Linked DNA regions of Rhinolophus ferrumequinum. The protein of the gene in region 3 interacts with the protein of the main gene of each other region in a pairwise test. Links are inferred from orthologs where the notes say so. Each region holds a gene or a part of one and is shown on either strand. Other genes may lie near its edges. The genes, in order: SAXO1, KCTD13, ZMYND19 and TNFAIP1.

Region 1 (7,080 bases), about 63 Mb from region 3:
AGCCTCTGGTTGGCATACTCAGAGGACAGCTTCTCTACATTTCCTGATAGGGAATAATTTTGTACACATATATGGACCAGACTCTCTGCGGAATTTATGAGGTTCAGGAAAGATGGTTGGTAAAATCTTGATTTCTGTTCATTTATTTCAATAAAAGTTCAATGGAACTCTGAAAAAAGAAAAACAAAAAACCAAAAAAACTCCTCCTGATAGGGACATAGTGTTGTCCTTGGTCTATAAACACTAGTGCCCAGCATGGCAGTCATAGAGCTGAAAAATGATGAAACTGAGGTACAGAAGAGAGAAAAGATGATCTCTGATTATTTCCCCCCTTAGTTCTCTTTGTGGGGAAGGAAATAAAAGAGAGGAGAGAAGTATCTCTGCTCTTTTTCCTTCCTATGGGTAACCTTGATCCCACCACTTTTTCTTTTTAAAACCCCTATGGTCATTAACAACTTGTTTTGGAAATTCTTTCCGCTTCTGCATTCCTCCACTTTGGCCACATCTTGACATGAATGATATTGTTACTCTGGCTCCGGCAGGGACAGAGGGACCTTCTGGGTGATATGTTTATTATTGTAAGTGACATGAGGCAAGAATAATTTAGGACAGGTCAGAGGGGAAGTTTGTGATTTGCAAAGCACCATTGGAAGGCAGAGGTGGGAGGGCACGTGTGGGGCTCCTTCTGGGGGGCTCAGAGCCAGGCGATGGAGCAGGGCTGCTGCCCCAGAGAGAGGGCTTATCCTCGTTCTCCTAAGCATGGGAGCAACAAACAAAAAGCATTCCCCAACACCCAATCCTCAAACACGCTTTTCTGTATTTCCAGGACAGGAAATAGATCCCTAGTATAACATTTGAAACTGTACCTTACTTTATATTCACAAGGCATTCTTCATTTCCTGCAAATTGGGTATAAAGAGATGAGAAGACCAACATCTAGAGACTGCATGTGATGTTGCAAGCCATTTCTCAACACAGCTCTTATCCTTTTGTACCAATTACATGTCTCTTAGGCATATGCCAAGGACTTTTCATCAGTGTTGACCAGGGTTTCTTAAAAGGAAAAGCAATGCTCTGGAAGGGTCTACATCTCTTGTTGTGTTCTTTGGGCTCTTAGAAACTAAGAATGCTTTTTTCTTGGTAAAACGAAGCCCAACCATTAAGGTTCATGTTGTTCAATAAATCATAGGTTGGAAAAAAGTTTGCGTAAATTACAATTTTTTCATGAGTCAGGACCCAGAAAGCTTGTGCTTAAACCAAATCATTTAAGAGAACTGCTTAGCATAAAAGTGACCTGAGGGCCAGCCCAATGGCTCAGGTGATTGGAGCTCCGTGCTCCTAACTCCAAAGGCTGCCAGTTCGATTCCCACATGGGCCAGTGGGCTCTCAACCACAAGGTTGCCAGTTCAACTCCTCTACTCCCGCAAGGGATGGTGGGCAGCGCCCCCTGCAACTAAGATTGAACACGGCACCTTGAGCTGAGCTGCCACTGAGCTCCCAGATGGCTCAGTTGGTTGGAGCACGTCCTCTCAACCACAAAGTTGCTGTTCAACTCCTGCAAGGGATGGTGGGCTGCGCCTCCTGCAATTAACAACGGCAACTGGACCTGGAGCTGAGCTGCGCCCTCCACAACTAAGACTGAAAGGACAACAACTTGACTTGGAAAAAGTCCTGGAAATACACACTGTTCCCCAATAAAGTCCTATACCCCTTCCCCAATAAAATCTTTAAAAAAAAAAAAAAGTGACCTGATTCAAGTCAAGCATCAGACAAGGCCCTCAACTCTCTCCCATTTTCAAGTTGCCCCATCCAATGGCTCCCACCAAGCTCAGAAATCCCTTGACTTCATTTCTCCCCTCTTGTGTCTTTTCTGCCCCATAGCCCAGACATGGACTTCTTCCTTTGGATCTAGGAGATAGCAGCTTTTTACAGGAACACTTCAGGCCTCCAACCCACCATTTCAACACAGGATATTTCCAGGTTACCAGGGGGTAACTTGGGGGCAGAATGAATATTAGAGATGTTCTGCTTAGCCTGGGTCACCTGGGACCGTTAGTAGAAAAGCACAAAATTATGAGGCACAGAGGGAGCAACAGCAAGAAAACTGACCAGGTCTTGAGAACCTGTAGTGTGCAGGTACTATGCTGGAACAATTTCATCTCCACCTCACAGCAATCCTGCCCTGTAGGGATGAGGAATGTCAGAGGCAAAGATGTGTCAGGTCTCATCTGGGAACTAAACTCTATAATCTGAAACACTGCCCAACTGCACTCAAAGATGTTTCTACTGCACTGGGTCACCAGTCACAGGTCACCACCTGGTGATCACTGAGTTGTCAATGGCAGATTCTGTTGGAGTCTTGCAACATGTAGAACAATCCTCAAATTGATCATTTCCCCTGACCCCCTTAATACAGATACCTCTGCAAACCAAATATACTAAGCCAGAACTGGATCTAAAGAATCAGAGTTTATAAGGCAAGAGAAATTTATAAGGAAATGTTCTTTGTTCCCATTCTTGAAGGGGATCCCAATTCAAACTCTACAGCATAATTTCAAAACAACTCACTCTTTCTCTATGATCAAGTTCTCTTTCACCACTGCCAACGTCACGACCACCACTCCAGCTGATCTGGAGCTTAGGTGCCAAAGCCCAAACCTCCTTTTTCAACAGCAGCCCCCTTTCCATCCCTTCCTTACTTAACCGCCAACTCTTCTTATGTAGATCAGTTTAGCCCCGCCCCTCTCCCACTCCCCACCCACCACACAAAAAATCCTTTTCATTGAAAAGAGATTGTGAAAAACCAAACAGGTTGATAAATGCAAGATTTTCTTTCAGCGATATAGCAAATTAACATTAAGGCATTAATAGCATATGTTGATATTGCACATTATTACGTTAACACTGTACATTATTACTGTACATTATTCCATGAGTGTTATACGTTCATATATTCATACTATTGCCCTCACCTTGATGTGGTCAGGACTTCCATTGGGATGGACCCTTTCTGGTACTCCAGCTTGGGCTTGAAGGACTCTCTGGGCAGGTAAGAGTGATAGAGAGGGTAGTTCTCGGTGTATTCGGAGAGAAGACATGGTTTCTCTGTTTTATCGTAAATCTTCGTCGGGAGATATGGACAGTGATGCCGCCTATAAAAACACATGAGCTTGGGTTGGTTACCTTCTTGTGAAGAAGACATCCAGTTTGATAATGTTACTTCCTCAAAATGTGACCCACACTATAAAATCATGACTGTGGGCATTGAAAACAGGAATTTTACTCTTCCTTTTCTCTACCAAACTATGCGAAGTGGCCAGAATTGTTTACATGAGCTAGAACTGCTATTGGTTAATTGCCAAAATCCCTTGGATCATAGAATTACACACAAGCATGGCTGATGTTCAGCCGTTACACTTGCCATGCTGCTTGTTGAAACACTTCCCTCATAATGGGTAAATGGTTGTGGCCAACAAGCCCTCTGAGTGACAACCCAGCTGCCCCAGACCCTCTCCCTGAGGCCTCCCCAAGCCTCCCAATCACCCAGAAAATAAGGGCTTAATACATGACAGGGTGTTCCAAGGCCGTGCTCTAGGGCCAGGATGCTGTCTTCCCTCATTGGCTTCCGGGTCCGAACATCATCCTTGCACACAAGTGGCCTCATATAGCGGAACCACCTCAGTTCTGAGTATACTAAATGTCACTGACTACATGAAACCATTTGCACTTTGAAAGTCTGGCTCCTTTATTCTTTCAAGTCTTACCTCAATTGTTACCTCCTTAGAAAGACTTCTACTGATCATTTCAAACCTAAAATACACCCCATCACCCCTTCCCTCTCATAGTTCTCTTATCCCCGTGTATGCCTTTCTCATCACTCACTGTTATCTGTAATTTGTATGTTTGTCTATTGCCTGTCTCCTCTGTCAAGCTCAGGACCTTCTCTATCTTGTTCACTGCTATATCCCTAATACTTTATATCCTCCCTGGCACACAGTAGGCATTTGGCACACATTTATTGAACAAATAACTGAGCATATAAATGAGTGGTTAAATAAACTCTATGCCTCACTATACAGTAGGTGATAAATAATAATTTGCAGTTATAATTTATAGTGAGTTTTTCCATTTTATATGCACAGTAAAAAATGAACCTTATTATTCTACCTACTGCTAGACAAAGGGCAGCCATTTGAGCTCCAAAAACTAAGAAGTGTATCAATTATTTGTGTGCCCATATACAAAATCCTCACAAACAAGTTGGGGCAATTCTAGTCATCAGACACCAGTATACTGATAAAACTTCATTAATGATTTACAACTTAATTATATCAAGGAATGGCACAGGATTATTGCAAGTTTTTTTAATGCTGAACTGATTTGAATTACAGAAACTAAAATACACAGCACTCTGGGGCAGCACATAGGGGAGGAGAGAAAGAAAGGAGAGAAACAGACATACAGAGAACTCACCACTGCTCTAATCTAAACTATTTTCCAGGCAACAATTAGTACGTTGCTCCTGTTAGTAAGTTCAGCTCTCTACGTAAATGTTGCTGCCACCACTGTTATCACTGTACCCTCTTCAACTCTCCAACCCCCAGAGGAAATGATCGACACCTGTATTGTTCATATGAATAGAACTGCATATAAGCAAGTACTTTTACAGATATCCCAATTTATTTTCCTCTCATTTGTAGATTTGTGCCTTGAAAAAGTCTTAAGATGATATAAACTTGTCACATTTACTTTTCTTTTAGTTATTATAAAAAGGCTATTTATCGAGGGGGCCAGCCCAGTGGCTCAGGCTGTTGGAGCTCCGTGCTCCTAACTCCGAAGGCTGCCGGTTCCATTCCCACATGGGCCAGTGGGCTCTCAACCACAAGGTTGCCGGCTCAAAAGGGATGGTGGGCAGCGCCCCCTGCAACTAAGATTGAACACGGCACCTTGAGCTGAGCTGCCGCTGAGCTCCCGGATGGCTCAGTTGGTTGGAGCGCGTCCTCTCAACCACAAGGTTGCCGGTTCGATTCCCGCAAGGGATGGTGGGCTGCACCCCCTGCAACTAACAACTGCAACTGGACCTGGAGCTGAGCTGTGCCCTCCACAACTAAGACTGAAAGGACAACAACTTGAAGCTGAACGGCACCCTCCACAACTAAGATTGAAAGGACAGCAACTTGACTTGGAAAAAAGTCCTGGAAGTACACATTGTTCCCCAATAAAGTCCTGTTCCTCTTCCCCAGTAAAGTCTTTCAAAAAAAGGGGGGGGGCTATTGATTCATGGTGAATATTTTAAATTTCCCTAATTACGTACAAGGAAATCTTCCACAAATATTCTGTCCTTGTACTATGAATATCTGAATTTTACAGTATTAAATACACTCAGTGACAGTTTAGTTTTCCTTTTTCAAAATACACATTGTTGGCATTTAATATATAAAGATGAATATGTATTTATATTTTATATATATTTAATAAAGTATGTCCTAATCATAGGTACATGACTTGAGTGCTTTAATCTTCTGTCCACTCAAGATAAATTGTTGTGTTTCATGGTAAACAAAATAACCATCCCCTACAGTTTAAAAACATTAGCCATTATTACCATTTCCGGGCTCATGATCAGTCCAATTATCTGAGATTTCAATCTGAGCCAATTAGTACCCTATTATTTTAGTATTCCTACAAAACTCAAATCAAAAGCCAAGAAGTGTTGGTAACAAAAATATATACCACAGATATATTTTATTCACCCACACTCTTTGAGAGAGAAGTAAAGATTTTTATCAAGGATAACTTAGATTCAGTCACTTGCAACAAAATGGACTCCACAGACATAGCAATATTTGCTCTCTTCCAGTGCCCTTGTTTTTTTAAACCAGTAAGACTTTGCTTTTTATCTAACCCCCTTTCCATATTGTTCCTTCTTAAAACTGAAACATACTACAAAGTCTTATTTAAAAAAAAAAGATAAATTTAATGGCAAAATACTGCACTGTTATTGCTATCATAAGAGGGGATTTTAGTATACAACACACTTGCATCCAGAGATTGGCGTTCTATTATATCTAATATATATTTATATCTAATATATATTTATAGGGCAGGTTTTCTTTATTTGACTTGTTGCCAATTAACTAGAATCTTGTCTCACTCTGAAATACCAAAGTTCTTATTTGAAAGTAAATGTTTCATTGTCTGAGTTTGCTCATGGGGTAACCTCCTTTCCTTACCTGTACCCAAACACCCTGAATATCCCTCTCAAGTCACCAAGCACCATAGATTCTCCTTGTTGGTCTTTACCCATGAGTTCCTCAAAGATAAAGACCAAGTCTGACATCTCTGTGTTCTGGAAGCTAGCCCAGTGCCTGGTACACTTATTTAATAGATGGATGGACAGTTGGACCGTGTATAAAAGGATTATCTACTGAAAGAAAGATATTTACAAAGAAAACGAATTGTTCTAACATTAGTAGAGCGAAAAGGGAAAAAACAGATTCTCAGTTTTTATGGATCTAGATCATGTCTGAAGAAAGTTTATGGAATCCCCATGCTTGGGGTATTTAAAAGTAGTCTTGAGAGTCATGAGCCAAAGAAATGAGACCTCTTCGAGATCTCTGATACTTGTATCATTTTAGGGGGTGTCTTGGTCCCCTTGATCAAGAGCACACCCAAACAATCCTATGTGGGGCCAATGGGCAGTGAAGAGAAAAGGGAGGGAGAAGGTGCTTTCACCTGTCAGAACTCTCTTTCCACTCCAGGATTTATTTAAGGGCCAGAAGTAAAAGGAAATAATGCTGACTTTTTCTGATATATGGTAAGGAAGTAGTAGAGAACTTACAATGGAATCCAAAAAAAGTAAAACAAAAGTTGACTCCAAGGTAGAATCATAGAATTTTACAGTTTGTAAGGAGAACAGCATCTGTGGAAATCCATGACTTGTCTTGCCTCTAGCACGGTCCTTTGGGATCCCATCCTGAGCCTAGCCTGACGGGGACACTGAAGAGGGCTCTCCTTCACTCCAGGAGACAGACTACGGAAGCAAGAAGGTTTGATTTCCAATCCTAGCTCTGCCACTGA
Region 2 (7,808 bases), on a different chromosome or scaffold from region 3:
AGAGTATATTTTGCTGAAAGTATCAGTTATAGTGAATATAAATATATGTGAATATAAAATGTGAATATATATGTGAATATAAAGTGTATTTTTTTCTATGGGCTGCAATCACAAAGTCTGAAAAACATGGATACAGCCCAAAGGAATTCTATGCTTTCGGATTTTGAAAATAAGTATTCCCCAAGATAATAGGAAATTGTTCATAGTTGTCACTTTTTAATATACAAAGGACATCAAAAGTGAAACTCTTACAATCTATTAATATTGTATCCTAAAAGAAAGAACTTTTAAATAGGACTGAACAAAAGGTTTTATGTAAAACCCACTGCATTGTACATATTTTTCTCGTTTCCTTATCTTTTGGAACATGAGGACAGAATGCTAGAGGTAGGAATTGACTGACTCAATGTCACTCAGTCAGCTGCGGTAGCAGTGACACTTAATGCACATATCCTGGCTGTGTTTTCCAAGTCTTCTCCTAAGAACCCGAAGCGATCCACAGAACAGAAGCCCAGCAGGTGGGGCTCTGGTACCAACAACCCTGTTTTATTGGGTTGTGCCACATTTTATTGCCAAAAAAAAAAAAATTTTTTTTTTTTTTAAGCCACTGGGGTGGGCACTGGGTGCTGCCTCCCAGGATAGAAACAGATCACAGAGGTCATTATGTTCCAATTTAAATTTAGATATTTTTGTTCCTAGTGGCATAAGAAAGTTACTTATGATTTCTGAGCAAGATTAAGCATAAGTCAGGTGGTAGTGTACCAGCTGGATTGGCTGGGTAGAAAGAGCAAGAAGCAGAGAGAGCAGCCATTTAACCATTGCAACAGTCTTGGCATGAGATGTTGAGAATGGTGCTGCCTGAGGCAGAAGGGATGCAGAGGGCAGCACCCCCAAATTCTCTGGGGTCCAGGGCTAGTCAAAGCCAGGCCAGAGGCAGCCTCTTCAGGCAGTACTCCATGTTTCCTTTTTTTCCACCCCAATATCCTAATATCTAACTATTTGGCAGCTCTCCCAGGGACATGGGCACACAGGGGTGGGACTCTGGAGGTTGGGGAGGGACCCTCACCTGCAGTGCCAGCTGGCAATCCTCAATCAGACCCTGTACCAGGTAGTAGCGTGCTTCCCCTAGCAGTTCCCCCAGCTCTCTGGTACTCTCAGGCAGTGGCACTGACCCATCCCGCAGGTAGTTGAGGATTGTGCCAAAGTGGCGGCCGCTCCTGTCAATCAGGACCCAACCTGGAGGAGTAGGGGAGAGGAAGGAGAAAGGATGGCTTTGCTGGGGGCCCTGGAGCTATGAAATTTTTATGAAAAAAGGATTCCAAAGCTACGAGTCTAAAAACTGATCTTTCTCAAACCTCGGCCTTATCCAAGAAAATCCCCTTTAAACATGTCCAGTGAGTGTTCCCATAGGCCCCTTTCTAACGTATCCAGCCAGAGAGAATTAGTTCCCTCCTAAGTCTATTCTACATTGAGAAGATTAGAAAGTTCTTACAGATTACCTTATCAATAAACCTCTACCTCTCGTGTGTAATTCTGACCATCCTATTTAATGAAAATGTCTACCTCACCTGCCAGTTCACTACCATTTTAACCTTTCTATTCTTCATAGAACTTATTACTATGTATCTGTAATTACATGTCTTTTTTTTTTTTTTTGTATGTTTACTTGCTTACTGTTCTCCTCTGCCCCCACAAAAAAGTAAACTTCATAAGGCTACTCTTCTGAGCTTCATTTACCAAACAAACTATCTCAAGCCCTAACGGGCAGTGTACACTTATTAAATAAATACATTCTTCACCTTCAGATTATCTGAAGACTGAGCTGCACCTCCCAAATGTTTATTTACCTGTTCTCACAATCCTTTTTAACCCCTCTGAACTCTCCCACACTTTACGGTTCCACTTGGGCACAGTGGGGCCGAAATCTGAATGCAACACTCCCAGAAGGTAAGGTTCGCCTGCCAGCGAGAACTGTCCACCCTCTCCGCGGGGGTGTCCCTGGCAAACTCAAAGAAAGCAGCCTCCTTCTTCTACAATCTGCATTTACAGATGGGTTGCTAGAGCGTGTTGGGGGAAACACAGACAGACCAGACACTCCGGCAACTCCAGGCTGGTTGTTAGCAGCGCTGAGGCAGGGAAGGGGGGATAAAAAGGCTGGGCGGTTGTCAGAAACTGATGCAGGTTGGTGGAAAGAGGGCTGCTGGCAGCAGGGCTGGTTCCCAAGTTTTCTGAGCCGAGAAGTGGGAGAATTGGGAGGGAGTGGTCAGGAAAATTCTGGGGTGACATGTTGAATCACTTACCACTTACCAGCGGCTGGCAGAACTGGGGGAGAGGGGGATGGTTCCATTAAGTGTCGGTTATTGCTGGGGGGTCAAGATTGGGGGAGAAAGGAGATTGTGAATGAGAAAGGGGAGGTTCGATGGGAAGTGGGGACTGGAGGTGAGAATGAGTTGTCTGCAGGGCAGTGAGACGAGCGCACACACACACTGGGCGATGAAAACCGGGGAGTCAGGGCGACGGCGCTCCGGAGGATGGAGGGAAGCACGAGTGGGGGCAGCACGCGTACCTCCGGCATCTGTGATCACCTCGGCTCGGCCGCTGAACATGGCGTTGAGCACGGAGTCCTGTCCCGTGAGCGTGCGCAGCGTGGTGTAGTGCAGCGAGCCGCCCACGTTCAGCTTCACATACTTGCTGTTGGGGGTCAGTGGCTTGAGGCCGTAGGCGGCTGGTCCAGGCTCGAGTTCCGAAGGCTTGGGGACTTCCAGGGACAGGGCCTGGGCCGCCGCCGGGCCCGAGGCCTCCGCCGACATGCCCGGGGGTGGTGGTGGTGGGGGCGGCGGCGGCGGCGGCCGGCGATCTGCAGCCCTCTCCGTGCCCGCCGGCAAAGACCCGGGGGCCCGAGCGCTGGGGCCAGATCACAGGACCCACACGCCCACACGTCGCCGCTACCCAGCGACACTGGCCGACAATGCCATCGCGCCGGCACCTCCCGGAAGCCGGGCCCAGCAACTGCGCAGGCGCGTCAAAGTCCCGCCCCCATCCGCGCGAGGCCGGCGTGCGGAGCATGCGCAGTGGCCTGGGGCTGGCGGAGGCGTCGCGGGGCGGCGGTCGGGAGAGGTGAGGCGCGCGCTCTCGTTCGCAGGACCGGGGCCGCCGGAGGGAAGCGCCCGGCCACCTGCCCGATGTGGACAGCGACGTCCCCGCCTCCTGGCTGGGTTTCGGCTCTCAAGGCGCTGAGCGGGCATGAAGGGGACACTGAGGCCCGTAGAGGGCACTGGGCGAGTTTCCCACCCGCCAACCCCGAGCACCTGGACCGACGGAGGAGCGCTGTGGACAGAGCGCCCGGGGACGCTCTCCAAGGAGGCTGCGAAAACGCACAACTCCAGCCGAGTCCGGGTAAAGCTCACGGGGGCTTTGCGCAACCGCACGTGAGTCGGGCGGCCGCATCCCATCCCGCGAACAGAAAGGCGCTGCTCAAGCGGTGGACGAGAAAACGTTTTAAAATCACAGGCCGAAAGCCAGCGGAAGAAAAGGGAAAGAAAGTCTTAGCAAAGAATGTGTGGCTTCAGGCAAGGTTGCCCTCCCCAGGGGTCTAGCAGGCGGGTTCTCCCAGGCGTGCCCACCGGCTCATTCCATGCCTTTTTTTTTTTTTTTTTAACATTTTGGGAACTCTGTTTTTATTTATTTATTTAATTTATTTATTAATTTGGGGAAGGGGAACAGGACTTTATTGGGGAACAGTGTGTACTTCCAGGATGTTTTTCCAAGTCAAGTTGTCCTTTTAATCTTAGTTGTGGAGGGCGCAGCTCAGCTCCAGGTCTAGTTGCCAGTTGTTAGTTGCAGGGGGCGCAGCCCACCATCCCTTGGGGGACTCGAGGAATCGAATTGGCAACCTTGTGGTTGAGAGGATGCGCTGCAGCCAACTGAGCCATCCGGGAGCTCAGCGGCAGCTCAGCTCAAGGTGCCGTGTTCAATCTTAGTTGCAGGGGGCGCAGCCCACCATCCCTTGTAGGAGTCGAACCGGCAACCTTGTGGTTGAGAGCCCACTGGCCCATGTGGGAATCCAACTGGCAGCCTTCGGAGTTAGGAGCAGGTGGCTCCAACCACCTGAGCCACTGGGCCAGCCCTCGTTTCTTTTTAAGAAGGCCAAAACGGAGTGGCCTCCGAGGGCAGATGGCAATAGTGCTAGGGCATGCAGGCTGTAAGTAAGGTCATCAAGGAGGGTCTCTCTGAGGAGGTGGCACTGAGCTGAAGCTGAGAAGAAGAGGCCACATAGAGGGGTGAGGGCAGACTTCCCGGCAGAGGGAAGGGCCAATACAAAAATGCCCAGGCAAGAACAGGCTTGGTGAATTGAAAGAGCAGAAAGGCGGCCAAGGGTGGCTGGAGCAGCTCAACAAAGGTCTTAACCTCCCGGCTAATGTGAGATACCCAACCTGGAAAGAAAGAAGAAACAAGATAGACACACTGTTGATGAGAAAGTGGGGTGCAACGTGTGATGTAACGCTCTGGCTCAGTGTCTGGCAGGGGGATTTGCTGGAGTGAAAAGCTGCACACGGAGCTGTGGAATGGTGGGGGAACGGTGGTGGTTGCTCATGTTTGTGGTTTGGACAATGTGTTCAGACGTGATTATGGAATAGGCGTTCTCTCAATCCGTTAGAGAGTGACTTGGTCGGATGTTGGAAATTGTTTCTGCTCAACAGGACAACCTCGGGTGTTACGAGTTCCCTGGCTGATCCTGGGCAAGTCACTTGTCTCTGGGCTTCCATGGTTCCTTTACTGCTTACTGAGGGGCATGAATTTAAATGCCCACAGGCGGCAGGTAGGAGTGTAAATGAGTGGGGTGGACCAGTTGTTAGATAAGCGGGGCCCTGGGGTGACCTGTGGAGAGCTCATGTTGTACCAAGAGGGGTTGCCAATTTTGATTTTTCAAGTGTAGTTGGTTAAAAAGAGAAGCCGCTCGTGGCCTCCTGGGAGTTGATCAGCCCTCTCCCTCTAGAAACCTTGGTGTCGCCAGCAGTCCACCTGGTACTTACAGCTAGGCTGCAGTGTTGTCCTGTCGAGCAGAAACAGTTTCCAACATCAAACAAAGTCACTCTGCTGCATTGAAAGACCATGCCACAACCATGTCTGCACACATTGTCCAAACCACGAAAATGACGAAACCCAACCCCCTCCCCGAGTCGGAATGACTGCTGCGTATTTATAATACCGAGTAGAGCTTTAGCCCTGATCCATGCCTCCTCCTGACTTCTAGGTAAGAATTATTAAGATAACCGAAAAGAATTATCCCCACCCCCTGACAGCAGCCAACCTGGAGAAAATCTCCCCTTTCTCAAACCCCCCTGGAGAATAACCTACCACAAGCCTAAATCCTGCACTGTCTTTCTAACACGTGCTTGCTGACATGCCCAAGATGGGTTCCCCATGGTCTATGCTCTACCTTGTTCAACCACAGATGTGTTCCTGGTGGCCTTTGGCTGGAGGGCCTTGTCTGAAATGGGGGATCCATGGAGATGAGCTGAAACCCTCACTGCTGGGACTCTCGTAATAACGGGTACATCTGAGACCGCCTTGTGTCTAACTGGGGTGCCGTCCTGCCCATGATTTGGAGGTAAGCCTGATGTTTTGTCGAGACCCTTAAGCATTGGAATTATTTTGTTTGTTTTCCTTGGAATAACGTTCTGGAGTTTTTGGTTGTCCAATTTCTCCTTGGTAAAATTGTTTTCTGGCCTTCCATACATGCTCCTATGGTCTATTCTCTTGTCTAGTGTGTTGAATGTGTTTGTCTGTAAGAGGAAGAGTCTAGAGGGGAAGGATGAGTGTGCAGCCACGGATATCTGAGGGCATCACAAACCTGTTACTGCTCAATCTCTAGTGGCTGAACGCTACTTCTCAATCTAAAAAGTTGGAAATGCCAAACCACTTGGCAGTCCTGTAACCAGGTAGCGTGCTGGTATCTCTTTTGTTAACAGAATTAACCAGGCAAATTTCTGTGTCAGCCAAGGCCCGATAAGTGTGTCCTACAACCAGCCCCAGAGACCGTGGAATTCAGAACATATCCTCAGACTTGTGTCCTTTGGATAAACTTTGCCTTGAGTCACCATTTCAAACCTTTATGAGGACTTCTTCCTGAGTTTTGTCTGTGTCCCTGAGAACTGTTTTGTTTTGTTTCTTCTGCCCCAAATCAGGACATTTCCTCTGGACCCTGATCAATGACAGTTAGCCTTTGGCCAAGTTCTGGAGATAGAGGTTTACGTGGCACCATCCTATGGATCCGTGTGCCAACTAAACCTGGGCCAAATACCTGCTTCCTTCATTTTTTATTACTATTACTGTAACTGGAACCCTTATCTCTCTAACTGACACCATTTTACTAGGGACCATTGTGTTGGCCATTTTGGGGAACTGTTGGCAAGAATAAGATTGTTTATTTGAGAGGTACCTCAGAACAAAAGGGGAAAAAACTTCATTGAGGAGATTGTCTTGTTTGTCAAAAAGAGAGATTATTTTAACATAGGCAATATTTCACTTCTGTACTTTGTAGATTAATAAATGCTGCTTTTTAATTGTATAACTGTATTAAATTGTCAAGTTATTTTTAAAATAAGCTGGAAGGCCACTCTGTGTGTGTGTGTGTGTGCGTGTATATGCCAAAATCTGTTTTTCTACGTTTAAATGGTCTTCCCTTTGCTTGCAGAGGGAACACTGATTAGCTTTTTAGAGTGTAGTTTCATAATTCTCTGAAGTAGCGCCCCCTCATGGTTTTTGCTGTCCGTTTCCCTCTCTTGGCAAACTGTAAAGATTAACTATCGAAACCGATTCTATTGTATGTGCACACTCTAGGAATAACCAGTCCACTTAAACAGTTAAAAATGTCTTAAAGAATTAGTCAACTATGTATGTTTCCTTTGGGGGCACTGAAAAGTGTATTTGTGTCATAGGCTTTGTTATTATAGTTACAACATAAGAAAAGGCCTTAGTTCCAAGATAAAAGAAGAGCTTTTTAAATTTGCCATGAAATGTCTTTAAATTTGCCATGAAAAGTAATGCCAGAACAATATTTTGGTCTGTAAAGATTGGGGTTAATTTTCAAATGATTTAAACTTTTAAAAACCTTTAAAATTTTTATATTGATCTTATAAGTTAAGTAAGTTATCGTGTATTTCGTATATTCATCCCCAGATCTTACTTATAATTGGAAATTTACACACACACACACACACACACACACACACACTGGGAGTGCCAAAAAAAATGATACACACATTTTAAGAGATGTTAAAATGTGTGTATCATTTTTTTTGGCACCCTCTGTGTGTATTTGTGTGTGTGTGTGTGTATGTTTATATATAACTGAAAGTTTGTACCACCTTCACCCATTTCCCCCAAAGACCACTCCCCCCATCTCTGGCAACCACCTATCTGTTCTCTGTCTTTGAGTTCAGTTATTTTAGATTCTACATATAAGTGATATCATCTGGCATTTGTCTTTCTCTGTTTGACTTATTTTACTTAGCGTAATGCCCTCAAGGTCCATCCATGTTGTCACAAATGGCAGGATTTCTTCCTCTTTTGTGGCTTCTATATGTGTATATATCACATTTTCTTCATTGATTCATCAGTTTATTTCCATGCCTTGGCTATTGTAAATAATACTGCAGTGAACATGAGGGTGGATATCTCTTTGAGATAGAGATTTCGTTTCCTTCAGGCAGTGGAATTTCTGGATCATATGGTAGTTTTATTTTTACTTTTTTGAGGAACCTCCATACTGTTTTCCAAGGTGGCTGCACCAGTTGACATTCCCT
Region 3 (7,388 bases):
ACTGCCGTTCTCTGGAGCATTTTCTCAATTCCCTACGACTGGCAATTGTCATCACTTTGGCCCAAATAAGCCAGAGAGACCCTCTACAAGTGTGGACGTTCCTTATGCCGATGGGGCCATCTCCCCTCGACCTTGAAGCTCCCAGCTTTAACTCGTGTTCTGGGTAATGATCCACCAGCCTCCGCTGTCACTCCTCTCCACAGCCAGGTCAGCTCCTGACTCACTGTCACTCTGTCCAGTACCACTCTTGTTAGAATTCTTAGCAATTTCAGAATCCACATAGGTGACCCTTCCAACCTCCTGGCCTCTGTCTTAAAATGTACCCAGGATTAGTTTTAATCAGGTAAAGCGACAGACACAGAGACAGTTGCTTGCAAGTCTAGTACTTACAGTGCCACACCACATAGGGTCACGTGGGAAGTAGCAGCATGGCTCCGGAGGCAGTGGGGAGGGACAGCACGGCCCAGAGCCCATATTGTTTTCTGTGGGAAGGAACAGTGAGGCAGTGCAGGTGAGTTTGAGCCCTTAGGATGGGACAGTGTCAGCAACTTCAGTGGGCTCGGCTTGGGGCAGGCTCTACTTGTCCAGCACCTGTGATCAGATGATTAGGATGATTAGGAAATCCTGGCCCGGTGTGCGAGTTAGATGAAGGAGGTGGCTGGTGTGGGCTCTGCATTGGTTGGTTTGCTTGTGGAGGCGTGTTTGCTGTCTCTAGGAATTAGCTAGCCTGGGAGAGGCAGGCTGTCCCCAGCAGCAAGAGTCCCCAGATGTCAAAGTGAATACAGAAAATGAAAGCCATGACCAATACAGCTCTCATTACGCCGACTCCCCTCCTCCAAGAACCTTCTCCAGCTGACAGCACCTGATGGCATTGTCGGTTGGTCTACAAAGATGTCTGCCAACCACTTCTCCCACCCCTTTACTTAAGTTCACGCTGTTCCTGCCATCAGAAGGTGGGTTCCATTCCTTCCCATTGAACTTTAACTGGCAGTACTGGGATGGAAGAGATGCCATGCCAGTTGCAGGTTCTTGGGAGCCCCAAGATGCCACGAAAAATGTCTGGTTAACCTGCTGGAGAGATCGCACAGGGAGAGATAGAGTGCCCGGGCACGTGAGTGACACCAGCTCAGACTTCCTGCCTCAATTACCCCCCAGTGACTGGCTGTGCCAGTGCCATGGCCGTGTTAGCTATCGACTACTGCAGCACAAACCACCCCAGTTTCTTATTCGTTCTGAAAATAGGCCCCCGAGGAGGAAGGTGGGTGTAGTGACCAGTCCTCAGGCCTGAGCTGTGAAGTCCCATAACTTTCTACCACATTAAATGCATCAAAACAGTCACAGGCCCAGTGCAGGTGGAGCATCACAAACATACAGACAGAGCAGGAACTGGTGCTGACGACAGGAGACAACTGGCCTCACCAGCCAACAGCACAACCAACCAGTTGAGCCCAATCGAGATTCCAGAACCACGAGCACCTGAATAGTTGTTTTAAGCCAGTAAGTTTGGGGTGGTTAGTTACGCAGCAACAGGTAACTGGAATGGATATTGGTCCTTAGAAGTGACACATTGCCACTACAAAATTCCAAAGTGTGCCATTGACTTTGGAACCCAGCAGCAGGTGCACACACCTGCAGGGCAGTGAGGGCATTGCTGATGGAGGCTGGAGACAGCGTGAGCCGGGATGGATATTGACAGAAAAATGGCAAGACCGCTGCTTGTGGTAATGTGGAAGACAGAAAGTGAATCTAATGATTTTCCTGGCAGCGGCTTAAAGGGCCAGTTGGCTTCTTTCCACACAAGAAGGCAAACCAAAGGGAGGGGAGTGTTCTCAAAAACATTTGCGGTGCAGCTTTTGTCTAATGGAGTAGGTTATAATTTGATACATAGAAAGTCCACAGTTGTATTTTTAATTTTTTTTAATTGGGGAATATTGGGGGAACAGTGTGTTTCTCCAGGCCCATCAGCTCCAAGTCATTGTCCTTCAGTCTAGTTGTGGAGGGCGCAGCTCAGTCCCAAGTCCAGTCGCCGCTTTCAATCTTTAGTTGCAGGGGGCGCAGCCCACCATCCCATGTGAGAATTGAACCAGCAACCTTGTTGTTAAGAGCTTGCGCTCTAAATAACTGAACTATCCAGCCGACCCTCCAGCAGCTCAGATGCAGCTTGTTGTCTTCAATCTAGTTGGGGAGGGCGCAGCTCACTGGCCCATGTGGGAATCGAACTGGCAAACCTGCTGCTAAGAACTCGTGCTCCAACCAACTGAAACATCCGGCCACCCCCAAATCCACAGGTTTTTAAAAAGGGTTGTATTCTGCTTGAATTCAAATGGACAGACTTTGAAATAAATGAGGGCTTTGGGCCCCTGACTTTCTACAGGCAAATGGCTGGCTGAGGAAGCTACCCAGCAGCAAATATGGGCTACTTCCTATGGAAAAGGGAGGATGACAGAGGTGCAGGGCCAAGGTCCTGGAAAAGCCAAGAACTGCTGAAAACAGTAGACTAGGAGAGCTCTTACAGGGAGCAGACAATCCATGCTAAAGGAACATCGGGACAGATGCCTGGCTGCATTTCAAATTGCTATGGACCAGTGACTCCACAGTGCACTCCTCCTTTTTCAAGGGGATGTCTAGCTCTTGTCCTATGGAATGGAATGTTGGGTGTTGGGGTACAGACAACAGGCCTCTGCAGCAAAAGGAGCCACACTCAACGTGCCTTGCCCACACCGGGCCGTTTTGTGCATCATAAAACAATGGACCCCAAGCCCAGTACCTTGATGAGACAGTAATTCTGGAGGTCTTAGGAGGCCCTGAGTGCAATCTTGCTGTGACAGGGGCCGCAGGGCAGACTGGGGCAGGCTGTGCCACTGGTGCCCACGCCCCCACCAGTGAACCACACTTCCCAGAACTTGTGCTCTGCTGCACAGCCCTCCTACACTGGCTCTGGGCTTGCCTGCATGAATCGCTTTGTCCAGTGGGGTACTAGAAAGCATAATTCCATCAGAGGCCCAATAAATGCTTGCCCAATGGGAAGCGCCCTCTATGCTGTAAGGAAGTGCAGGTGTCCTGCCTGGTCACGTGGGGAAACCCTGTACAGTGAGATACGACACAGAGAGGTTATATGGAAGAGAAGTGAGGTGCTCCAGTGAATTCCCGAGTGAGTGCAACCAAAGGAGGGACCCAGCTGCCTGCCCCCTCTGTCTCCTTAGCCAGAGTGATGCATTGGAAAACTACTCTGTTCAAACCCTCCAATGGCGTCACTTGTTGGTTCACTCCCGGTTCACCCGTCTGGTCAAAATGGCCACCTTGATGTTTCAAACACGCCAGATGTGTTCCCAGTTGAGCCTTTGCCCTGACTCTTCCCTCTATGCCCACGTCTCGCGCCCTCTCCTCTCACTGGTTGTTCACGTTGACTAGTCAGCGAGGCCCTACTCTGCTCACCACCTTCACTGGGACCCCCGCCCCAACATTGATCCACTCCTTTCCCCACAGCGTTTATCACTTTCTAACACGGGCGTATAACTCACTTATCATAGGCCTTTTCTGCCTCCCTCCCTGGAAGATGAGCAAGGGGGTGGACATTTGCTATGTGCACTGGTGTGGAGGCGTTTCCGTGGGTAGTGGAGGGAGTGGACGCCAGCAGAGACGGGGGGGTAGGCAGAGGCCCCCCACCCCCAGACGTCAGGCCCTGGAGTTGCTGTTTAGGAAGGACCTGGACCAGGCTGGTCAGTGCCCTGGAAATCGCCCCGTCTCAGTAGAGGAGCTTGAGGCACAAGGAAGTTTGGTGTAGCCAGGGCCGGGGGGCGGGGCCCGTGGTCCCCACGCCGCCTCTGTGAGGAGACGGCGGGCGGCCGGGGAGGAAGGAGGGCGGTCAGGGGCCCTGCCAGCTAGCCGCATTCGGCTCGGGCCGGGCCGTCTTCGAAGTCCTGCAGGCACTGGCCACCCCAGACCCGACTCCACCGCGGCCCCGCAACTCCCGGGTGCCGTCCGTACACCGGGCCGCCTGCCGGCTGCCCGGCGGACGCCGGACCGCTTATGGGGAGCCGCAGCGAGTCCTGCCAGACGGTCCGGGGCGCGCAACCAGGCCCCTGGGCCGCGCGCAGTATCGGGGGTTGGTTGCCGGCGCGAGGCCGGGAGCTCGGAGCGCCGACGCCCGCACAAAGCTTCCCGCGAAACTGACGTAGCGCCAGGCGGCCGCGCAGGCGCCGCCCCCGGCCGCGCCCCTCCCCCGCGCTCGCCCCGCTCCTCAGCGCGCCGGCGCTCTCGCCCGCCTCCCATTGGCCGCGGCGTGGCGGCGCGCGCCGGCCGGTGCAGGGCGCGCCCCGCTATTGGCCATGCGGCGGCGGGCGGGGGTGTGTCCGTGCCGCGCCCCGCCCTCGCCTCCGCTCGCTGTGGTGCGCGCGGCGGCAGCGGCGGCGCGTGGCAGGTCCGGCGGGCGCGAGGCGGCGGCGGCCCGAGTCCGGCCCAGCCTCGTCCCGTCCGGCCGCCCGGACCCGACCCCGGCCCGCTCGCCCGGCTCGCCAGGCGCGCCGCGGCCCCGCCCCGGCTCGGCGCCTCCCGAGGGAGCGGCGCCGCCGGCCGAGCGCAGGCCTGGCCATGACAGACTTCAAATTGGGCATCGTGCGGCTCGGCCGGGTGGCCGGGAAGGTGAGCGGCGCAGGGCTGGGGGCCCGGGGCTGGACTGGCGGCGCAGGGTTTGGCGGTTGTGCGGGCGGCGGGCGGGCGGCCTGTCCCCGCGGTGGGCTGCCCTCCGGCCGCGGCCTGGGGCTCCGACGGTGCGCCGGGGAGGAGGGGGCTGTCGGCTGCACCTGCGGCGCGGAGAGCGCAGCGCCCCTGCGATGCGGCGCGCTCGCTCCTTGCCGAGGCCGGTGTGTGCGCGCCGCTCAGTGCCTTCGGGTCCTAGTGGAGCTTCGCGCAGGTTTCACGCTGCCAGCGGTGGCCACGTCTGGCCGAGCCTCAGTGGGCCTCGCCGGGGCAGGGCCTCCCTCCGCTTCTCTCCCGTACTCGGCCCCGCCCTCCGCGTGTTCGAGGCGGGGGCTTCCTAGCACCTGTGGTCATCGAGGCTTGGCTGTTTCCAGGAGCCGGCCGGCCGTGCAGCTGCACCAGCCGCGGACCTTACCCTGGATGGGAACCCTGTTCCCATCACAAGCGGCGGAAGCTTCTGGGGAGAGAGGAGCACAGGCAGTGAGATGAAGGTAAAACGGACTCAGATCCTAGAAGAAGCTTCCCAGGCGAGAGTGAGTGGTCCGGAGGCCGTTACCTGCCCGTCCTGCAGGCGGCGTGCGGCTTTCTAACTAGAAGGGTGGGCTCTCCGCAGTCCGAGGCTCCTGCTGACTTACCGACCGGTCGTGTTAATGTCCTCCTCGAAAGCTTTTGCTGGGGACAAAAAGCTAAAAAGGACAACTCAGTGAGCACCTGAGTCCCGAGTCCCGTTTAATCAGCAAGCACTGCAACCTTCTGGATATTCTGCCTCGGCCCGGGGCTCGTCTCTGCTCCAGCGACGCCGCCTGTTGGACTGGGTTTATTGGCACATCATTCAGACGCACAGCTTAGAGGCTGGCCGGCCAGTCCCGTGGCACCTCGAAGGCTTAGTCGGGTGCGGGTGGCAGCGAGGCCTGAAACCTGCTCCAGGGGTACCAGCGATTGGCACGTCCACCTGCGCAGCGGTCGGCTGCTCCGCCCCGTGACGGCCCCCTCTTAGGCTGATGGGCCGCCCCTGCCTGTTGCCAGTGCCTCCGCCAGATCCCCAAGGTAATGTTTCGAAATGTGGTTGCTTTCTAGACCAAGTACACGCTGATAGACGAGCAAGACATCCCGCTGGTGGAGGGCTACTCCTTTGAGGTAAGGGCCCCCTTCCCTCTGCAGGCCTGCTGTCCGTCAGTGCCCGGCAGGGCCGTGAGGGATGGTGCTCTTCCCTGAGATGTGAGGGCAGGACCTCGCATGAGGACACGGGTCTGTGCTGCCTGTGTCACGCAGGGCCTCCCTCACGTCCACCCTTCTTGCCAGCTCTTTCTGAAAAACAGAACAAATTGTCACGTTTGTGACTGGATGTTCAGTTGGACAGGCCCCGGCACCTTGGGAGACTGTCCCATGCCAACTTACCTTTTCTCTGGCCTTGGCCCCACTGTCTGTCCTGGTGCCCAGTGCTCCTTTCATCTTCTGAGTGCCCCACCTTGCTCTGTCTGTGTCACTCACTCCTTCCTTAGGGACACGCTCCAGGCATCTGTGGGCCAGCACCCCCATCTCTGCCCTTCACGTTTTCACAATGGTGTCTTGTGCAGGGGTTCATCTTGCTCCCGGGATTGTGGGCTTCTCGGAGGGGCGGGGATTTATGTCGCTGTGCCCACGTATTGTGCAGAGTGCTTCATGAGTGTCTTGCTTGAATTCATGAGGGTGAAGAGGGTGCTTGTTGGGGCACGCTGGCATATCCGTGCCGCGTGTCTTTGGGAGCTTCTGCACATTCCCAGGGCCCCAGGAACAGGCCTGGCATTTGTCCCTCTGTTTGTTCACGTCGCTCAGTGTTTCTAAGAGGTGTTTAAAATGTTGCCGAAAATCAGAGGCTTTCTAACAGATCTCTTCCCATTCCTCCTAGGCCAGGATGGAGGTCGACGCAGATGGAAATGGCGCCAAGATATTTGCATGTGCCTTTGACAAAAATCGAGGAAGGGGGTCAGGAAGGCTTCTTCACGAGTTGCTGTGGTGAGTATTTTTGAGCTATTGTTCCATCCCTGGGTCTTGCATGAGTCCTGATGTGTGTGGAGCCAGTGGAGCCACCTGCCCTTGTTTACAGATAGTGCTTTTGCATCGTTGCCACTAAGTGAGGAATGAGTGACTACACACTGTGGCACTGGCAGGGGAGCCTAAAGTTTTCAGCCACCAAGTGCCCTTTCTGCTCCGGTGTTCGTTCTGGGGTACACAGTGTCCTCTGGGGGAGCATGGGGCCTCGTCCCTCCTGGGCTCTTGCTGGGCCTGTTAGGGGGATGTGGGGAAAGGATGGCTTTCCTCGGTGTGCTCTGTGGGGTCCAAAACGCGGGGGGCCGTGCACATGGGGCATTTTCTAGGCCGTGTGTTAGATGGTTTGGGACTCCAGCCATGGCCTCTTGCAGCCTCGCTGACCTGCCAACGTGGTCTGTACGTTTGAGCCACAGACTGACACACGTGGAGTCCTCTGGGCAGCCTGCTCCTGCTGCGTCCCCTACACGGCCGTGTGAGGAGGGTCAGTTCAGACCACATGGCTAACAGGCTTGGGTAGGTCTGGGAGGTGGGGTTAGAGACCTGTCTGTCTGCCCCCAGGGAGCGGCACCGAGGGGGCATCGCCCCCGGCTTCCAGGTGGTACATCTGAATGCGGTGACGGTGGACAACCGCCTGGACAATCTGCAGCTGGTGCCGTGGG
Region 4 (6,842 bases), on a different chromosome or scaffold from region 3:
TTTTAAAAATGCTATCAACATAAAATGATTACATTTATTAAGTAACAGGGCTTAATAACACATGGAACTTGTAATATATTTTGAACTCAGGGGAACACGGTTGCGCTCAGTGGGAAAAATGAAGTTGCGCTTTGGCCTGCAGGATTGCTGGCAGGTCCAGAGTCAGTTTTGTGGTTGAGATGCGAAGGACGTCACAGAGATGGTCGTTGGTCGCTTTGGTTCTCAATCTCATCACAGAAAATGTTTGTTCACATATGTATGTTGAGCCAATCAGACTCATCATTCTTTTTGCGTGGCGTCTCATCAGAGGAAACTTGGCTTCTTCCAAGCTCCGGTAGAAGTCAGGTAAGGAGAGAAGCTGATGTTGATTCTTCAGAGAAGCATCACACTGCATTTCTATAAGTTCTAATTGCAGACTATCTTCCACTTCTGCATTGATCATGAAGGGAGTCGCGGACAGCTTGATATCGTTCTCAATGGTAGAAAAATCTTGGAAGCGCTGAGAAAATTCTGTCATGAGAGGTGTGATCACAGACACATATTCCCCTTTTTATCAGAGATCAGCCTTTGGAAACGCAGATCTGATTTCGGACAGTTGGGGAAGTGCGCAACATTGAAGGTGAGCAACTGTGCCTCAAACAGTCGGAGCTTCGCACAGAACGCTTTCATGTGTGCGTGAAGCTGCGGTACGAGTTGGTCTTCTTTGCCTTGTAGGCTTTTGTTGAGTGTGTTGAGGTGTTCAGTGAGATCAACTAAAAATGCCAGGTCTGCCAACCATAGGGGGTCACTCAGCTCGTGAAGAGGTCGGTCCTTTTGTTTCAAAAACTGGTGGATCTCTGATCTCAGATCTCAGAGAATAAAACCGCTGAAGCACGGAGCCGCGACTTGACTTAGCCAGGCACTTCTGAATAGTAGAGCAGGTCCCCATATTCAGCATCAACGTCAGGTAAGAAAGTTTGAAATTCCCTGTGGTAGAGTGCTCGTACTCGAATTCTGTTTACCGTTTTCACAACAGTGTTCATCACGTCGCTGTCTTGGCACAGATGATACAGTGCATTTTACCTGCCCCACCTCCGCTCTCCTGCACCTCGGCGCACACCATAGAGGCCATTCCTTTGAGCTCGCCTGTCATAGCTGGAGCTCCATCCGTTGTAACTCCACACAACTTGTCCCATTTAAGTCCTATCTTGTCAATTGCATTTGACACAGCTTCAAAAGTGTCTTTACCCGTTGTTGTGGTATTTAGACTGCGGAGATCAAGCAGCTCCTCCGTAATGCAAAAGTTATTGTCAACTCCCCGCAAAAAAATTAATAACTGTGCGGTATCTGTGGCGTCTGTGCTCTCATCACATGCCATGGAGTAGAAATCAAAAGCACACGCTTTGTCTGACAGTTAATGTTTTATGTTGGCTGACAAGTCTTCGATTCGCTGCACAACTGTGTTTCTTGATAGGCTAATGCTGTCAAATTCTTGACTTTTTTCTAGGCACATTATTCCTGCGACTTTAGTGAGGCACTGTTTTATAAATTCACCATCTGAAAAAGCCTTCCCATGCTGGGCAATGAGTTGAGCCACCTCATAGCTGGCTATTGTGGCATTTTCTTGAGTTTTTTTGGCACAGGAAAAATACTGTTGTTGAGCTAGCAAGATAGTTGAAATCTGCTTAACCTTCTGTTCTCGTTCCACACCAGTGTAGGACATGTAGGTCTGATGTTTGGTTTCGTAGTGTCATCTTACATTGTACTCCTTCATCACTGCGACACTCTCACTACAAATCAAACACACACACTTCCCCTTGACTTCCATAAAGAAGTATTCATTTTCCCACCGTGTCTGAAATTTTCTACACTCACTTGCTATCTTGCGTTTCTTTGGTGTTGTCATTTTCAGTGCGCTGTGGCAAAATTTTTCTTTCCTTAATTTTGTTTTGTAGAGGAACTGCCTTGATCAACTCAGTAGCTCCACCTAGAGTTAAAACCAAGAAATGCAATACCGCCCGGTTTCCTGAGCGGGCCATATTCTGGTATATTTTTGGAATTTGCTGCGGGCCAATTAAAAATGGATCGCGGCGGCAGTTTTGAGGGCGGTAGTTTGGACACCCCTGATTTAACACCTCCTGGATGACTAATCAGACCAACTGCTCTAGAAAGCTTCAGTAACCCAAGAGAGCAAACACACACCTGCTTCCACTTCTACTCCCTTTCCTGAGAACATGCGTTTATTCAGAAACACCTACTGAGTCCCAGCTCTGAAGACAGAGTGGTGAAGAAAGGGTTTCAATGCTTTTAGTTCCTGACCTCTGGACAGATAGTAAACAAATAATCACCAATTGTGCTAATAGTACGAGGAAAAGCACTGGTACCGGGTGAAGGGGCAGCAGGAGAACATAATTCTCATGGGGGCGGGGTGTCAACAAAAGCCTTCTGAAAAAGTGACAATCTGAGACTTCAAGAATGTCTAAACGTTTTTTAAGTGAACTGGGGAGGAGGCATTCCAGGCAGAAGGAAAAGCATGTGTGAAGATCCTGCGGCTGTAAGAAATTTAACACATTCCAAGCACTGAAAGGCTAGTGTGGCTGAAACAGTGAGCAAGGGGGAGCATGGAACAGAATGAGGCCAGATGGAGAGGCTAGCGCTGTCATAGAGGGCTCTGAAAGTCACAGTAATGAGTTTGGATTGTATCAGAAGGGTAAAGGGCAGCCAGTGGGTTCTCAACAGAGTGACATAATCAGACCTGCCTTTTAGAGAGATCAGTCGGACTCAGAATGGAGTGGATTAGAGGGAACAAGAGGGTGGGGCCACACCTCCCTTGTCCATCACTCTAACCCTAGCATCTAGCATGGGGCCTGCACATAATTGGCACTCAACAATTGTTTGTGGAATGAATGGCTGAAAACAGAGGCGGCTATTACAGTAACCAAGGCTTAGAGCCAAAGAAAAGTGTTCCAATTTGAGATGCTTTGTAAGTGGAGTTGTTAGAATTCAGTCAAGGAATGACTGAATGTAGGGGTTTGAGGATGCGTGAAGGAGAGTCTGACAAGAGTCCCATTTCTGGTTTGAGACAACTGCATAGCTAGAGGGAATAGCCGAATGAGATGGGTAAGACCAGAGAAGGTTCACAGCTGACTATCAGATTCTCTTCCAACTCCCACCCCACGCGCGTCTGAGCATCTGAGAAACACCGGGCACAAAAGCCAGACCGAGCTCCCCGGAGGCGTTTACACTCTCTCCGCCCCTGACGCCCCCGATCCACGCTAGGCACTACCAGCAGGCTCCGTCTATGGAGTGTGAGGAAAGGGCACTGGGAAGAAAGTTAGATCTGGGTGGTGGAGCTGGCTGTCTTCACTATGTAAACTTCTTGAACTTATCTGAGCCGCAATTTCCTCATAAGATTGTTGCGAGTATCAACGGGCAAAGCTCCAGGCCCAAGCTGTGTGTAAAACCCCTGGGACAGCCTTTCCTTAGCGCGCGCGGGCCTGTCATCTCGCCCCGATTCCGCCCGCGTCCCCCGACCCAGGGTCACGGCCTACCTTCCGACCCCGTAGTGGCGGCGCGCTGCGGCGCAGGCTGATGTCGGCTGGCAGCTTCTCTCCCCGGTCCGCGGCAGCCGTACCTAGCTCGCCCGCCTCAGCCGCTGCCACGGCTACAGGACCTGTTTACACATCACGTCACTACCTGACACCGGAAGCACTTACACTCGATTAACCCGCAGAGCCTGCTGGGAAACAGAGGCCCAAGAAGAAAGTCGGCTGCCTACAGGGTCCAGAGGCCTTTGCACCGGAAAGGCTGCCGGAAGTAGCTGTGCGTTTACCACGGAATCCTCTCAGGGGCTCTTCCCTCTGCCCTGATTGGGTGCTGGGCTTGCTTGGCCTTATAATCTCAGGATCGTAGGCTGGCCCGGCTGGGCGGTAACTCAAGGCGGAGTCCGCGGTCGGAGGGTGTGAGTGCACAGCCCGGGATTGCTGGCAGGCTGGGGCCACAGCCTAGGGGCGGCACGGTTTCGGCTTGCAACCAAGCTGAGAGGAGAGGCGCCCCCAGGGACGGTGAGAACCGGGTTTGCCGATACCCTGGGGGAAGGGATGGATGGGCCCTGGGCTGGAGCAAAGAGAACCCCACCTGGACCTGGGGAAAAGGCGAGAGACGGTGTAGGGGAGAGGGAGAGCTTAAATCCCCTACTGAGGGTGTGTCAGAACCGGCCTCGTTTTCTCGCCAGTAAGGAGGAGGACGGGCTGGGAGAGACTGTACACTGGCCACAGAGAGGTCGGGCTTCCCTAAATTTCTCCAGACCCTTTGGATGAAACCTAAGATTTTTACACCTAGGATTTCATCTAGATCCATTGTGCCTAACCGAGATCGGCTCTCTTCCCGCTCCCCGTTTCCCCTGTGTGTGACGAACTTCTGGGTCTTCCTTTAGGATGCCACCTCCTTCCACAGTCGTGGTTGTTTGCCCTTTATTCTACTTGGGTTCCCCTTAGCTTCGCTGAGTGAGACACAGATACGCCCGTAGCTTCAGGCATCCCCAAATAGCCACATCGAAGTCCGGAAGGAAGAGCACTGAGGCTACCAGTGGAAACTTCATTCTCACTGGAATTACTTTCTGGGGCGTCACCTGCCAAAGAATTCCTGGAACTCATTGGTCTGGGCAGAATCTGAGCTGACGTCATCCAAGGGCTCATAGTAATTGCTTTGTAGGAAAGGAATAGATTAGCTCTGGATTTGTCTTCCTCTGTTGGCAACCAACTAGCCTTTGAGTTCCTTTGCTTTGGCAGAATATGTACGTGTGCTTTCTTTGATCCTGGGGAAATTGGGGCTAGATACAAAATACGTAGGGACTTGTTAAAACCTGTTAAAGGCTGGATTTATTCCTATGGAGTGGGCTGAAGAAGGTAAGGTGATCTCATGCTAGTGTTACTTATTGATTGGGCAATCTTCTGGTGAGGGTTCATTCCATCCTTGAGGCTAATGAGTCAAAGGAATTCAGTACTTCACACAGCATCTGCTCTGGCCCTTCCTTGGACGTTCTTCCCAGGGACCTACCTAAATCTTTTCAGGGACAATTTCAGTATAACAAACCGACATATATTAAATACTTTAAAATGTGTATGGCATGGTGCTAAGCACTTTGGAGAATGGAGCAATAAACTTGGGAAAACCAGTGCACTGCTTTTGGGTTGCCCTTATAAGAGATCTTGGCAACTGTAAATTTCTGCATGTTGTGATGGTTAAATGAAGTAATTTCACTTTTTTCTGTCTCGGTTATCGTCAGTGTAGTCCAAGCCTTCACCATTTCTTGCCTAAACTACTGCTTCCTTTGGTCTTCCCACTTGCTCTCTCGAACCCTTAAATCCATTCTCCGCAGCACAGCAGCCAGAGTGAGCTTTTCAAAATAGAAATAACTCAGGTCATATCACTCCCCTCCTTAAAACTCCAATCGGGGCAGCCGCTTAGCTCAGTTGGTTAGAGCTCGAAGCTCGTAACAACACCAGGGTAGCCAGTTCGATCCCCGCATGGGCCATTGTGAGCTGCGCCCTCCACACCTAGATTGATACAACTGCTTGAGTTGGAGCTGATGATGGGTCCTGGAAAAACACACTTAAATAAAAGTTTAGAACAAAAGAAAATTATTAAAAAAAAAAAAAAAAAACCAACCAGGTCTCCAATCGATTCCCATTGCAATTGGTATAAAATCCAGACTCTTTAATATGATTTCGGCCTCTGCCTTCCCTTTACCTCAAGCCAACTTTCCCCTTTCTATGCACCAGCTATCTTGGCGTGATTTTTGTTCCTAAAATGTGTGTCTAACTGAGGAACTTGGCACCTACCCGTCCATGTGTCTAAAATACTCCTTCAGACCTCAGCTGGAATATCACGTTCCCAAAGACGCTTTCCCTGGAGCCCTGTCTAGATTAGTGCCTCTCGCTAGTCACTTTCTTATCACTGTTTTATTACCTTCATTGCATTTCTCGCTTTTGGTTTACCTGCTTATTCATTTTTTGTCTATATCTGCCAACTAGAATGTAAGCTCCATGAGGCCATGCCTTGTTTGTTCTCTTCTGTATCCCCAGTGCCTGGCACATAGCACAGGCACAGTAAATGCTAACTCTTATTATTTTTATTTTTGTTACCATTATGATGCTTCTTTGAACGCCTTGAAGGCACTGCGTAACATAGTAGGCACTCACTGTTGTTTTATTGCTGAGTGAAGTAATGAGCTAATAAATATTAAATGCCTAGAATAGTACCTGGAACGTAGTCAACATGCAGTGAATGTTTGCTATTACTTTTTCTTCAGCGAATGAATTTTAGTGATTCTCTAAAAAACCAAAACATATAATATAGAATCTAAATCACAAGAGGTGACCTGACTTTGCCTTCCTTTGCTTTCCTTGCTCCTCCCTTCCATGAACTTCTAAGTCACTTCATTGTTTTTAGATTTATCATCTGGTTTTTTCTAGCCCTTTCTCCCTAGTCTTGTTGGGAAGGAAGAGAGGAAGAGATAGGGCTGGGCCCCTTTCAGGAAAAGAAGCAAAAATAGCCATCCTGTAGTTGTTCTATCCTGAAAAATGGTGACAATTTCAGGAACTTGGGACCGGGCTGGTGCCAAGAAAGGGGAAGGTCAGGAAACCCTGGCTTCAGCCACCTCTGCCAAGAACACTGACCGCGGTGTTCCCTCCAGCCTGACTCATTCCATGCTCTCCTGAAGCTGCTTTACTTGCCTTCCTGAAGCCAGACTCCGGGTGGTACTAGTGCAGGCTGCTCCTGAGCCTGGAATCTTTAGAAGGGAAGTACATCCTGTCGCTCGGGCTCCTGGGAAACTCCTAGGCTGGCTAGACTCCCAGTAG

Evidence for each region.
Region 1: the proteins of ZMYND19 (region 3) and SAXO1 interact in binary tests that used the Homo sapiens proteins (3 or more experiments, as listed by UniProt). The two-hybrid records come from large-scale screens. The link is inferred for Rhinolophus ferrumequinum from reciprocal best matches to the Homo sapiens genes ZMYND19 and SAXO1.
Region 2: the proteins of ZMYND19 (region 3) and KCTD13 interact in binary tests that used the Homo sapiens proteins (3 or more experiments, as listed by UniProt). The two-hybrid records come from large-scale screens. The link is inferred for Rhinolophus ferrumequinum from reciprocal best matches to the Homo sapiens genes ZMYND19 and KCTD13.
Region 4: the proteins of ZMYND19 (region 3) and TNFAIP1 interact in binary tests that used the Homo sapiens proteins (3 or more experiments, as listed by UniProt). The two-hybrid records come from large-scale screens. The link is inferred for Rhinolophus ferrumequinum from reciprocal best matches to the Homo sapiens genes ZMYND19 and TNFAIP1.

What each region holds. Positions count from the first base shown.
Region 1 is NC_046295.1:20,399,555-20,406,634, reverse strand, and holds the start of SAXO1 (stabilizer of axonemal microtubules 1), read right to left. Parts: upstream 3,011-7,080; 5' UTR 2,996-3,010; coding exon 2,973-2,995; intron 1-2,972. UniProt on the Homo sapiens protein: May play a role in the regulation of cilium length. Stabilizes microtubules at low temperature.
Region 2 is NW_022680357.1:925,408-933,215, forward strand, and holds the start of KCTD13 (BTB/POZ domain-containing adapter for CUL3-mediated RhoA degradation protein 1), read right to left. Parts: upstream 3,012-7,808; 5' UTR 2,811-3,011; coding exon 2,567-2,810; intron 1,237-2,566; coding exon 1,067-1,236; intron 1-1,066. UniProt on the Homo sapiens protein: Substrate-specific adapter of a BCR (BTB-CUL3-RBX1) E3 ubiquitin-protein ligase complex required for synaptic transmission.
Region 3 is NC_046295.1:83,566,135-83,573,522, reverse strand, and holds the start of ZMYND19 (zinc finger MYND domain-containing protein 19), read left to right. Parts: upstream 1-4,380; 5' UTR 4,381-4,590; coding exon 4,591-4,641; intron 4,642-4,824; exon of another isoform or gene 4,825-5,183; coding exon of another isoform or gene 5,184-5,189; intron 5,190-5,775; coding exon 5,776-5,835; intron 5,836-6,586; coding exon 6,587-6,693; intron 6,694-7,287; coding exon 7,288-7,388. UniProt on the Homo sapiens protein: May be involved as a regulatory molecule in GPR24/MCH-R1 signaling.
Region 4 is NC_046304.1:19,042,683-19,049,524, reverse strand, and holds the start of TNFAIP1 (BTB/POZ domain-containing adapter for CUL3-mediated RhoA degradation protein 2), read left to right. Parts: upstream 1-3,838; 5' UTR 3,839-4,043; intron 4,044-6,842. UniProt on the Homo sapiens protein: Substrate-specific adapter of a BCR (BTB-CUL3-RBX1) E3 ubiquitin-protein ligase complex involved in regulation of cytoskeleton structure.